Linked DNA regions of Ovis aries. The protein of the gene in region 1 interacts with the protein of each later gene in a pairwise test. Links are inferred from orthologs where the notes say so. Each region holds a gene or a part of one and is shown on either strand. Other genes may lie near its edges.

What was found. The genes of interacting proteins can lie anywhere in the genome.
Region 2: the proteins of PIN1 (region 1) and GLI1 interact in binary tests that used the Homo sapiens proteins (3 or more experiments, as listed by UniProt). The link is inferred for Ovis aries from reciprocal best matches to the Homo sapiens genes PIN1 and GLI1.
Region 3: the proteins of PIN1 (region 1) and ZNF446 interact in binary tests that used the Homo sapiens proteins (3 or more experiments, as listed by UniProt). The two-hybrid records come from large-scale screens. The link is inferred for Ovis aries from reciprocal best matches to the Homo sapiens genes PIN1 and ZNF446.

Annotation. Positions count from the first base shown.
Region 1 is NC_056058.1:12,295,484-12,299,004, reverse strand, and holds the end of PIN1 (peptidyl-prolyl cis-trans isomerase NIMA-interacting 1), read right to left. Parts: intron 2,565-3,521; coding exon 2,454-2,564; intron 1,638-2,453; coding exon 1,528-1,637; 3' UTR 1,017-1,527; downstream 1-1,016. UniProt on the Homo sapiens protein: Peptidyl-prolyl cis/trans isomerase (PPIase) that binds to and isomerizes specific phosphorylated Ser/Thr-Pro (pSer/Thr-Pro) motifs.
Region 2 is NC_056056.1:162,170,991-162,175,406, forward strand, and holds part of GLI1 (zinc finger protein GLI1), read right to left. Parts: coding exon 4,279-4,416; intron 3,545-4,278; coding exon 3,380-3,544; intron 2,888-3,379; coding exon 2,657-2,887; intron 2,130-2,656; coding exon 1,862-2,129; intron 1,481-1,861; coding exon 1-1,480. UniProt on the Homo sapiens protein: Acts as a transcriptional activator. Binds to the DNA consensus sequence 5'-GACCACCCA-3'. Regulates the transcription of specific genes during normal development.
Region 3 is NC_056067.1:66,376,660-66,381,514, forward strand, and holds the end of ZNF446 (zinc finger protein 446), read left to right. Parts: coding exon 1-34; intron 35-1,098; coding exon 1,099-1,180; intron 1,181-1,301; coding exon 1,302-1,397; intron 1,398-1,551; coding exon 1,552-1,934; 3' UTR 1,935-4,135; downstream 4,136-4,855. UniProt on the Homo sapiens protein: May be involved in transcriptional regulation.

The DNA of each region.
Region 1 (3,521 bases):
GGGGCAGCCAAGCAGCCAGAGCTGAGAGGAGGCTCATTAAACCTTAATGACAAGCGTGCTGGCAGGCAGAGAGCAACTGCTCCAGAAACTGGCCAGATGGGAGTCGGCCCAGGTGACTATTTATGAGCAACTCAGGCCTGTGTTAAGAGACTCAGCTCTGGGGGTAAGGGGATTCTTCCTTGGGGTCAGGCCAGGCAGGGCTTATTTTATTGGATTCCCAAGCCCTGCTAGCCCACCACTCCAAGATCCAGGCTGGTCCCCATTAAGTGTGTGCGTGGGGTGCAGAACGGACATAACCCCTTCTCCAACACACCCATGAACCCTTTGACTGACCGCTGAGCCTCCTGCCCAGGCCCAGATCCAGGGGCAGCTGTGAGGAGTCATGCAGAACAGATGGGCCGCGCCCCCAGCCTCCATCTGAAGAGTCCTGCCCCCTCCCACACCCACTGCAGGGATTCTGCTCAGTGACCCTCCCCTTACCATGTTCCAGCACAGAACTCCCCCCACCTGCCACCGGAAGGCTGGGCAGGACCCCTGCTCTCAGAGACATCTGGCAGTGCCCTCTCACTGGCCCCCGTTGCCATGGAATTAGCATCTGCAGAGGTGCCCGGGTCCTGGCAGAATGCTTACGGTGACAGGGGAGTGGGCATCGGAGTGTTGGGAGTATTTTGTTCCAACTGAAGTGGGGTGTGTTTGGGGGGGCACGGCACCGAGAGCACCAAGGGTGAACGGGGACTTCACTTGGGTTCCCTGAGGATTCTCCTGTTCCACCTGACCTGCTGAACCCAGAGCTGTGCGGTCAGGGCCCTTGCATTCTGGAACATTCCTGAACACCCAAGTTTGAGGACCGCGGTTGTTCCACTTCCCTGAGAGTCTGCTGCTGCTATGAAGCACCCCAGGCCCAGGGAAAGGAGCAGCTTCCCAGGGAGGGAACATGGCCTGGACACCTGACACCAGGGGTGGTGGGAGATGATCGCTGCCCTGGGGGTGGGAAATGAAATGCCAGACAGCAGAGCAGTGGTTCCAGGTTTAATCAAGGGTGGGGAAGGCGCTGCATGGCTGCTTAGAGGCCCCATAGCAGCCAGCAGCCTGGGCCCCACGCAGAGCGTCTGCTTTTTACAACTGAACAGAGGAACACGGCCCAACCAGCAACAACTCAAGGCCCACCTGACCCCATCCTGGACCTGGGGTGGCACAGGGGCAGCTCAGCTAATTAGGCCTTCTCTTTGGGACAGGTCACCCCCAACCCTGGCCCTGGGAGCCCAGGGAGCCTCTCCACCCTGTGCCCTTCTGAAGTCGATTCCTAAAGGGGAGGGGAGTCTAGCAGGGACAGCCCCAATAGGAGCGGACAGGGAGCACCCGGTGGTGAAGGGGCCCCTCCCAGCCATTCTGGGATCAATAAATACTGTGTGACAGAAGGGAGGGGTCCCCACTGGTTGGCCGGCAGCAGGGAGCGGAGTCTGCGGGCCCAGCCACCCCGTCCCACCTGTCTCCCCCAGGGGGCCAGGCCTGGGCCATCCACACCCCTCACTCCGTGCGAAGGATGATGTGGATGCCCGAATCTGTGAACACGGGCCCGCTCATCTCCCCTGTCCGCAGCGCGAAGGAGGCGTCTTCAAATGGCTTCTGCATCTGACCTGGGGGAGGAAGCAGGAGAGGTGGCGGGTGGGGTCCAGACCTGCAGGTGGGACTGGGCAGACGGGGCTCCCACTGCGCCCCCAGGGCCCTCATTCTGACTCATCCGTCATGCACTTTCCGGCCCTGCCACGGCGCCTGAGCTGGGCGCAGCTGGGGGTGGCAAGGCTATTAGGGAGGCCCCAGGAAGCTGAGGACAGCATGAAGAACGAGGCACAGTGGCTGTCTCCTCTGTGCACTGAGAGAGGAGCTTTACCGAGGAGCTGGTCTCCCTGGCCCACAGCCCCTTGCTGGCTCCCAAACACCCCTCAGCCTATTTTGGGCCCTTCCTTGATGCTCTAGAGACCCCAGGACGAAGGGGGGAGGCGGCGGCGGCCTGGTTCCCTCTGCTCCTCCCTTCCCACAGTCCCAGGTGGAGAGGCCTGAACTTGGCAGGGTTGCTGATCTGACCCCCTCCTCCCCTCACTCCTGGTTTCTCCACCCAGGAGGGTGGGCAGAGGATTCTGGGGGATGTGCTCTGGGACTCTTAGGGGCCCCAGCTTTGCACCTCAACAGGAAGAGAGGGAAATGGCAGCAGGCACCCACCTTGGTGGGTCTGTGATGGGGACAACTGAGCAGAGACACACACAGATGGATGCCCCACCCCGAGAGAAATGCCACCACCGGGGAGAAGACTCTGCAGCCTGAGGAAGGGACTCTGCTGCCACCTGGTGGACCCCAGGGGACAGTGTGACACGGGCCATCCCTCTAGGTGGGGTGCAGGTGCCAGTGGGTCAGAGGGTCTTGCTGGGGTTCAGGGGTGCCCATTCTTTGCGCACCTCTGCTGAAGGCACCCAGGTCTCCCCTGGCCTTGGCGGAGCTGCAGTCGCTGAACTGTGAGGCCAGAGATTCAAAGTCCTCCTCTCCAGACTTAATCTTCTGGATGTAGCCTGCAAGGGGGACACAAAGGGAGGCCTCCTCGTCAGGGCGGGGTGGGCGGAGGGTTCCGGGCAGGGCAGCACTTCACTCAGAAAGGAGCCCGCAACCCCTGCTAATCGTGTGTGCATGAGCGTGCATGCACAACCACAGCCGGAGCCATACACACCCATGACAGGCATGCACCCCATGACCCTGTGGTGACCTCAAGAGCAGCTGGTCTCCTACCCAGTCCTACAACCCCTTCTCTGTAACCCCCCTCCCTACACACACAGGAACACATAATGAACATGGCATGGCCTCTACCTACCCCCACACACTGAGAGGAAGTCTACCTCCAGGCTCTGCTGGGGAGGACAGAAGGCAGGACGGACGTTACAAAGGAGCACTGGGGGACTTCCCTGCGGTCCAGCAGTTAAGACTCGGGGCTTCCAACGTACGGGGCACAGGTTTGACCCCTGGTTGGGAATTAAGATCCCACAGCAGCACAGCCAAGAAAATAAAAATAAAAAGGGACACTGGGACGCCTCAGGCAGTAAAAGGAAAATTTTCTAGAGGCAGGAGGCCATAGCACTAGCCCAGCTCTGCCACAGGAGATGGCTGAGCCCTCAGCGCGAGGGCCTCGGTTGTCCTGTCTGTCCAAAGTGTGAGGAAGGCCAGGGCCACTTCCTGGGGTGTCATGAAGAACCCTGGAGGCGGCCTGACTGGGACTCAGCAAGGGACAGGCGGCAGACTGCGCCCCCGGGGCAGCGGACACGGCTCTTCTCCCAGCTGCCCTGATGGGGTGAGTTGGCAGCACACCAGATTCACCCTCTGTGCAGCCCAAACTAGATACCGATTCTCCCTGGGGGGACAGGGAGACCGGGCTGATGGGAGGGAAGGAAGAGGACTGAGGGAAAGGGCTCCCAGCAGAGGGCAACACCACGGAGACACTTCCTCCTGTCTGACCAAATGAGGCTGTGACACGCCTG
Region 2 (4,416 bases), on another chromosome or scaffold:
CCCAGCCTGCCCACCTCAGGATGGCCACAGCTGGGATTGGTGCCCCCTGCCTTGAGGGGCCCATAGCAAGCTGGTAGTGGGGGTAGAAGTCGGGGTGGTGCTGCTGCCCTGTGGGAAGCTTTGTTGGCCCCTACTGCAAAATTTTCATGGCATGAAGGGGTAGGATAGGCGCCCGGCTTGTGATTGGGCATATTAGGTGCAAAGCCAGGTCCATATGTGGCCACTGGGGCCTTGGCAGGGCTTGAGCTGACCTGGGAACCCCCCAGAAACTTGGGACTCTGATAGAGAGGTTCTTGGACTGGGGGGTCTCCCCTGCCCCCACCCTCCCACAGCAGCTCCTGTTGAGACTGAACATAATTACACACAAGCTGCGCCTTGAGGTGTCCTGTAGAATGAGTGGGGGACTCGAAATCCAGGCCCGGCCTGGCTTCTGAAGGCAGATAATCAGGAGGTGGCTGGGTATAGGAACCTGACTGGGGATACTGGGGAGGGGGAGGCTGTGGGTAGTGGGAGAACAGAGGCTGTGAGCGTGGAGGCCCCTCATTGGGGTGGGCATTGAGGCAGGGTGCCAGTCCTGTGGTGTCAGAACCCACGGGGCACCCCTGTTCTGGCTTCACTTGCACTTGTCCATAATGTTCAAGACGAGGACACTGGCTGTAGGCTCCAGCTGGAGCCTTGGGGCCTGAGTAGAGCCCAGAGTGGGACGGGAACTCACTCCATGTTTCTGGGGTTGGTTCAGAATAGGGAACCTGCGGGGGACAGGGGCTGGGGCCATAGTTGGTGGGTGGGCCAGGCCCAAGAGGCAGGGAACCGGGCCCTCTAGCTCCATAAGGCTCAGCTGCTGCCGCCTCAGGCCCTCCATATCCCAGAGTATCGGCAGGTGGGAAGTCCATATAGGGGTTCAGACCACTGCCCATCATGGAGGTCCCAACCTCTGGCTCCTCCCGTAGCCCTCTGGTATCCATGGAGACATTCTCAGTGATGCTGGGGGGCTGTGGTGAGTAGACAGAGGTTGGGAGTTGGGGATCGAAGTTCTGTCCTCCTCCTACCACTGTAGGGGGGCTGTGGACACAGCCCAAACTCTTGAACCGCTGGACTCTGGCTGGGGCAGGGCGGTCAACCGACCGGGCTGGGTCACTGGCCCTCCGGGTGACCCCTACATTGGGGTTGTATCCTGGATACTCAGCTCGGCTTCTCCAGGGAGGTGCAGGAAGAGCCCCCGTCCGATCCAGGCTGGGTGCTGCAGTGGGAGGGGTACCACCTCCCCTGGCTGAAGCATATCTGGCCCGGAGCAGGTAGTGCTGGGCAGGCGTGAGGCCAGGCAGGGAGGATGCCCCATTCTCTGGTGGGGAACCAGGGGGGAAAGGGGAGGCAAGGGAGGAGCGGCGGCTGACAGTATAGGCTGAGCTGACACTGCTGGAGCTGCTGCTGCGGTGGTCAAGAGAGACCGGGGGGCCCAGACGGCGAGAGCCAGGAGTGCCTGTAAGAAAAGACAGGCTGGCCAGGGAGCCCTCTGAATTTCACCCTGCCTCTCCCAAGGGGAAGCCTTGTCCAGAATTCCAGGGAAGGCTCCTTAACTCTAGCCACTCAGTTCTCTCCCCTCCTTCTCCCACTCCCTTTTTGCTTCTGGGTCATCAGACATTCAGGGTCGCTGTGAACAGTCCTACAGATTGTACACTGCACAATCAAAGGGGACAGCATTCAAAAGACAACAATTTTCTGATAGAAGGAAGGAAAGTATCTCGAGGAAAGGAGACCTTTTTCTAATTGTGCAGCAGCCCTGAAAGGTGAAGTCTCCCTCCCAGTCTCAGAGAAGGGCCAGATCTCAGCCCTGCAACCATGCCCCACACCCATCACTCACCGGCATGGCTCAAGCTGGGCAGTTTGAGGCCCCGGGGCCCCATCGGCCGGAACTGATGTAGCTGGTCCAGCCTGAGGTTCTCAAGGCGGCGAAGAGTAGACAGCCCAGTTCCCGCAAGGCAAGGCCCCTCGTCCAAGCTGGACAGGTCCTCCGTGCTGCCCCCTGCGTTTCCAGTCATTTCCACACCACTGTCTGTATTGGCTGCACTGCCTGCTGGGGAGTGGTCACTGCTGCAGGACGACTGGGCCCCAGGGCTCGGCTGTGGCTTCTGTGGGGAAAAGCAGGGCTGAAGGCGGCGCCCATCCTCCTTCCCCACAGCTCCTTGAACTTGGTGAGTGACTAGAGCCCGTGTCCCAGTGACTGCTTACAGGTGTAGAGAGGGCTGATCCAGTGAAAGACACGGGTGAACTGGGGGAAAGTTCCTAGAAAAGAACCTAGACTACCTCAGCTCCAATTTGTCCTCTGTAACCTTGGACAATTTCTCTGAGTTTCTTCATCTGAAAATGACAAGAGTAAGTTCCCTTCTCATGAAGTTGTTTTGAGGCGTACCTGAAATTATACTGGTAGAAGGCCTCAAATTATACACTAATTTCTATATGAGCTGGTTGGACCCAGGCACTAATGAATTACAGTAAAATCCCTAGATTTGAGGTAGCCTAAGGAGCAACACTCAGATAAGGGACTGGGGACCAGCCACAGAAGAGAGATGAGCATAGAAGGAGATGGACCAGTTGGAAGGGGCTAGAAAGATGTCGGCAGGGCAGGCAGAGGTATGGAGGCAGGGCATTGCCTCACCATGGCACCCTCCGGCACAGTCAGTCTGCTCTCCTCCCTAATGGGGCCTCCATCCCGCTCCCTCTTGGGCTCCACTGAGGAAAGAGCCGGTGCCCGGGGCAGGGGGCCGTCTCCTCGGTGCCGCTTGGTCACGTGGGCATCAGGACCGTGTACTGTCTTGACATGTTTCCTGAGCGAGCTGGGATCTGTGTAGCGTTTGGTGCAGCCAGGGAGCTTACACACGTAGGGCTTCTGTTGAGTGGAGAGTGAAGACAGCAGGCAAAAGAATCAAACCGGGACAATGCCAGGAAATGGGAAAAAGTGGTGGCGTTAAGTGAAGACAAGGGGACTCGGAGGAACGCATAGCACCCAAGGAAGGAAGGAGAGTAGGGCCCTTGGAGTAAAGGATGAACGGATCAAGGGGAAGATTAGGAAAACGGATAGGCCTGGGAAAGGGGAGGGAATGAACCCAGGGCTGCAAGGCCTCATAAATTCAGGGGGTTGAAGGTACCCTAGTTAGAATGGGTCTATTTTAGCTTAGCCCTTTGACTGGTTAGAGGTGGGGGAGGGATAGTAAGTGGAAATTCTTGGTTTCAGAAAGACAATCTCTGGGTGAATTATGCAGGTGGAGGGGAACTCACCTCTGTGAAGTGGGTGCTGAGCTAAGGGGTTTCTTATGGGGGAAGCTCCCAAGTAGGTGGCGTCTGTAAGTGGGGAGGAGGGTCTCCTGAGTGGGGCATTCACCTCATTGGAGTGGGTCCGATTCTGATGCTTGGCTCGGTCACTGGCATTGCTGAAGGCTTTACTGCAGCCCTCGTGCTCACACATGTATGGCTTCTCACCAGTGTGTGACCGCAGGTGTGTCTTCAGATTTTCCAGGCGTGAGTATGACTTCCGGCACCCCTCAAACTAGGGGATATGGGGTCAAAGGATGGCTCTCAGACAGAAGGACATGGAGATTAGCGGAACCCTGAATCTCAAAAGGGACATACATCAGAGAATATAATTCAAGCGTGGGACTTCCCTAGTCGTCCGGACACTAAGACTCTGTGCTTCTGATGCAGGGGACTTGAGTACAATCCCTGGTTGGGGAACTGAGATCCCACATGCTATGCAGTGCAGGGGAGGACGGGAGAGATGGGAGAGTGCTGGGACTATAGAATTCCCAAAATTCAGGGACAATGGTAGGCAAAAGCGGAGGGGACAGAAGTAGCTGGAGGCACTCTGCCTGCAGGGATGTGGAGATGAGGCAGTGAGCGCTCTGGATCAAGTCAGAGCACATCTCCCTGCCTGGGGAGCCCAGACTGTGTTAAGATGGGGTCATCCTGGTGTGTGTCCTCAGTCCAGGGCTTCTCCATTAACCCAAGTTGTGAGCACAGTGCCTAGGTCCACTGTACTGTCTGGTGCCCACAAAAGTGTTTTAATTTCTTTTAAAAAAACAAGGGGGAAAAGAAATTAGAAAGTATTCTAACATGTAACGTCAATACGTTCATCTTTATACCAATGCGGTCTATATAACACAATTTTTAAATGTTTGTTTGTGGAGGAAGGGACCTGTGATGGCAAAAGTCAGATTGGCCCCTGCCTTTGTGGGGAGCCTTGATTTAGGAAGGGACCCTGAGCTTGGGGAGGGGGTGCCTCACCGTGCACTTATGTGGCTTCTCGCCCGTGTGTCTGCGCATGTGCACCACCAGCATGTACTGGGCTTTGAAGGGCCTCAGCTCCCTGGAGCAGCCCCCCCAATGGCACACGAACTCCTTCCGCTCTCCATGGATGTGCTC
Region 3 (4,855 bases), on another chromosome or scaffold:
GACCTCCGCACCCTTCCAGCCACCCCGGCTTCAGGTGAGCAGCCCCCGGTTGGCGAGTGCAGCCCCGCTGCAGGAAGAGGGTGTCCTCAGGGGCTGCTCTCTGTCCTGCCGGCTGTCCAGGCTCCTTGGCGAGTGCTTCTTGTCCTCTCTGCTGCCGCGAAGTGGAGTTGGTATCAGGGTACCCCTGGCAGGGCGTGGGGGACAGAACAGTGCTTGGAAAGAATTCTGGTCTCAGGGAACTGGGAACCTGGTTTAGAGTGATGGGAACTGGCAGAGGTGGGCTTCGCACTTAGACGTGAGACGGAGGTTGGCAGGAGTCCTGTGCCGGCACCCGGGGTGAACCCTCATGGGCATGTGCAGAGCGGACAGGGTCCCCAGTGTGGCAGGAAAGCCTGAGTGACACCCAGCAGTCTGGCCTCCCTGCACACCCGAGGTCAGAATAGAGACACTCTTACCAGGAAATGGCCCGGGAACTTCATCCAAGGCCAGTCAGCCCTCAGCTGCAGCCAGCTGGGCGTGGAAGCCCCTGCCACTCAGGGCTTGGGTCCTGAGTGCAGGCAGCAGGGTCTTGTCCTTTCCCAGTGACACTGTTCCTAACCCTTTCCGCACTGAGAAGCTCGAGAGGACCCAGCCGCAGCCTGAAGGCCCAGTTGCATCAACCACAGCCGGCCGGGCTGTGTCTGGAGGTGCGAGGCCGTGCCTGCCCTCTGGCTCTCCAGCCTCCCTGCAAGTTTGCTGAGGCCCTGGGCACTTTCCCTGAGGATCTCTGTTACCCTTGAAACCAGAGGCAGGGGAGAGGTGGTTGGGGTCCCCACCATTCCCTGGCCTTTTGCTCCATGCAGCACACGCAGTCCCAGGGCCATCCAGGGGTCCTCAGCTTCCTTCTGTGCGGCCAGAACCTGGGGTGGGGCAGCTGAGGGTGACTGGTGAGCCAAGAGGCAGCTCCCTTCCTGGGCCTGCATCTGCGGCACTCAGTGGTGAAGCAGGTGAGGCTTAGGTAACCTGCCACCCCTCAGGGGACCAGCAAGGCTCTGGCCAGGATCGGCCTGGTGGGTGCGGGGTCGACAGTTCTGTGGGTGATGGGTTGTGTCCCTGCAGGAGTGGGGGCTCCTGGAGCCGTCCCAGAAGGAGCTGAACTGGGATGCGATGCTGGAGAAGTACGGCACGGTGGTGTCCCTGGGTGAGGCCCCCTCTCCTTCTCTGGGCCCTTGGGCGCACCTTGCCTCCCAGCGCTTCCCAAGGGCCCCCCGTCCCCTTATTCGTGCGAACCCCTCACCTGATGGGCCCCCTACCTCAAGCAGGGTTGACGCACCCCCTGCCTGAGTCGCGCACCGAGTTGCAGCCGGAGGGGCTGAGCTCCGGATCCGGATCCGAGGGTCGGAGAAGCCTCCGCCCAGGTGAGTGACCTCTCAAGGTCCCTTGGTGGGGGTAGGCGTGCAGGTGCGGGTAGGGCAGGGGCGGGGGTGGAGGATGGGGGCGGGCGGGGCGCCCAGGCGGCCCCGGCTGGACAGTGCTGGGTCCCCAGGTGACCTGGCCTCCTCTGCTCCCCAGGAGATGAGAGCGAGGGCCGGCCCGGCGGCCCCGAGGCCCCGCCGCCGCCGCCGCCGCCGCCGAGGAGCAAGCCCTACACGTGCACTCAGTGTGGCGGGGCCTTCGACTGGAAGTCGGTGTTCGTCATCCACCGCCGCGCGCATGCCGGCGGCCCGTGCGCAGAGAAGCCGCCGGCCGGCCCGCCCCCGCGCGCGCTCCCGGGCCCACGCGGCTACGCCTGTGAGGAGTGCGGCCACAGCTTCAGCTGGAAGTCGCAGCTGGTTATCCATCGCAAGGGCCACGCCAGCCAGCGGCGCCACCTCTGCGCCGACTGCGGCCACAGCTTCGACTGGAAGTCCCAGCTGGTCATCCACCGCAAGAGCCACCGGCCCGAGGCCCCTTGAGTGCAGGAAGGGTGGCCTCCCCATCCCTGCGCCGGTACGGCCTGGAGACCTGGAGGCCGCCCAGGACCCTGGAGCAGGTCAGAGTCCCAGGGGATCCCCCGGCCCCCCTCAGTCTCCCCCCGGAGCCAATGCTCCCCGTCTCCTGCCTCCCCCACCGCAGCTTTCTGAGAGGCTTGGGCTCCAGGCCTCCGCCAGCCCAGTGCCGCCAGGGGACTTGCAAGCTCCCACCGGTGACCTAGTGCAGGCTCCCCCGACCTCTGGGACCACTTGGCTTGGTGACCAGGCCTCTCCCACTCCTCCTGCAGAAGCTGGGCCCGAGGTCTGAGTGTGGACGGGCCAGGAAGCCCAGGAGAGCATGGCCCGCTTCTGTCTGCAGCCAGCTGCAAAGCTGACGTTTAGCCACTGTGCGTTTTAGAGTTTTAACAGATTCTAGTTTTAAACTGGAGACATTTCTGCAGAAGAATCCTGGTGTCTAGTCTCTGCTGGTTGGATCAGAGCACCTGCCCTCCCGCCCAGCCCCTAGAGCTGCCGAGCACCTGACCCCCGAGCGGGACCAGCGTCCAGCCCACCTGCTCCTTGGCCGCACACCCCACTGCTGGCTTTGTTGTCCCTGCCTGAGTGGACGTGAAGGGAACGTCTCTCCAAGGATTTCTGGACAAGGATGGGCTCTGAGAACAGATGTCACTTAGGCCTGTAGGCCGGCGGCTCAGGGCTGTGTCCCCACAGCCTGCACAGTGGGTCACCCCCGGCGGCCTGTTTGGGTCGTGGGCAGTCGTTCAGGTCTTGGCCAGCGTCCTGTGGTGCTTTGCTACTGCTGCGATGGCTGGAGACAACACGTGTACCCTCTTGGGACTCTGGATTGCGTCTCCCTGGGCCCAGTCACGGTGTCAGCAGGACTGGCTCCTCCCGAAGTCTCTAAGGGGGAACCCACTGCAAGAGCTTTTCTGGCTTGTGGAGGCCACTGCGCCCCTGGGTTTGTGACCCTTCGCTCCATCGGCAATGCTCGCCGTGGATGGTGCGGTCCCACACTGCCTACTTGTCAGGCCCTCGGGGCTGCGTCCAGAGTCCCCAGTAACCGTGGTGATCCTCGTCTCAGGACCACACAGCTTCCCCATCCACCCACCCTGCTGCTCTCATCTGCACAAGCCCTTTGCGTGTGAGGTGACATTCACAGCTCCAGGTGTTAGGACGTGGACGTCTTGGGGGCTGTTAACTCGGTGCACTTCGGGGCTCCATTCTGCTCTAAAACAAGCATTTTGTGGGAGGTGATTTCAGGGAAACAGATGCGCCCAAGGATTGAGCCCCCTGCAGACTCGGGCACATGCAGGGGTTGCAGGAGGGTGTTGAGTGCTGCAGTAACCATCGTTACTGGGCAAGGTGGAGGACACCTGGATGGGGGTGGGGGGCTTACTGCAGCCTGAAACCGGGAGGGAGAAGCCTTCACCCCAGGGACCCACCTCCTCCATGCCCAGCCTTCTGGGGCCTTTGAGCTGTTGCCCATACTCAGGCCTGGGGAAGCACGGCCAGGCTGAAGGTGGAACTGAGCACCGGGGATCTTGTTACCGCATCCAGGCTTGTATCGTTCACTGCATGACAGGCTGATGAACTGAGAGCCTGAGTGGTTAGGGCAAGGAGTTGCGCCTGTATTCAAAAAGCCAGCAAACTGAGACGATAGGAGACTTGTGCCCCAAAGAACCGTCTCGTCTGTGTTAAAATCCAGGCTGCTCTTACACTGAAAGGGGATAGAGTCAGGTGAGACATTTCCTGGTTCAGAGGGGATGTGTTCATTTCCTCCTCCCTGTAGACATTCACAGGTAGGTGTGGTCAGGAGGTCTCCTGTGAGCTAAATGAAGGAATTCTAGCTTAAATGCTCACTACCTGTGAGTCAGGGCTCCCAGAGTTGGGCTATTATGTATAATTTAAGCTTAGAAGCAGCATTCCTCTAGTGACTGACTCAGGTGACAGAATTCAAAGGTTCTTCCTCATTATAACACAGTCTGGCTGGCAGCCAGAGGTGAGGTCTGTGCTGGGGTCACAGAGGAAGGTGCCAGGGCAGGGCCCAGTCACACACAGATGGTGAGGGGCGGGTGGGGGTGGATGGGCAGCATTCTTGGGAGAGTTTCCTTATTTGAAAGTAGTTTCTGCTCACTTAGAAAAGTCTGAAATATACCAGAGGACAAAGAAGGTCACGAAAACGGTCACTGATGCCGCTGTTTTTCTCGTGTTCACACAGGGTGGGGTTTTACAGCGGGAGAGGCCCCTGCGCGTTGTTCTGAGCCGCGCCCTTCCCGCCCACCTCCCTGCGCTGCTAAAAATGGGACGTGTCATGATGCCTAGGTGGAGATTCCACTTCCCGGGTTTCTGCCAGGCCCTGACGGTTCCTTGTCCGCCTCCCTCGCGGCTCCCGGTGCCATGAGGACACACCTGAGCAGACCCTCTGGGAGCAACCTGCGTGTTTCCTCAAACAGACTCCCGCAGAGTGGGAGTGGCGAGTTTTCTCGAGCGTCAGATTTCTGTTCATGTTATTTTCTTTTTCTTCTTGTTTTAAGAAACAAAACAGATTACAGTTCTGAGGTCAGGAGGCAGGCATAGGTCCTGCAGGCCTGCTTTCCTTCTCTGGTCTCTGGGAGAACCATCGCTACACTTTTCCACCCTAGAGGCGGCCTGTGTGTCGCGCTCACCGCCCTTCCCCAAACCTAGGCTGGCAGTGGCCACTCAGTGCTCGAGGGGGCTCGCCCGACGCTCTCCTCTGCTCTCCTTTTTCACCTCTAAGGAACCTCGCTATCCTTAGAGGGTGGGCCCACCTGCATCATCTCGAACAGTCCCCCTATCTCAGGGTCAGTTGGTGGGGTAAGGGGTTTTTAAATTCTCCACGGACTCATCAGTGTCTTCCGGACACGTGGGCCCCACCCGACTTCCCT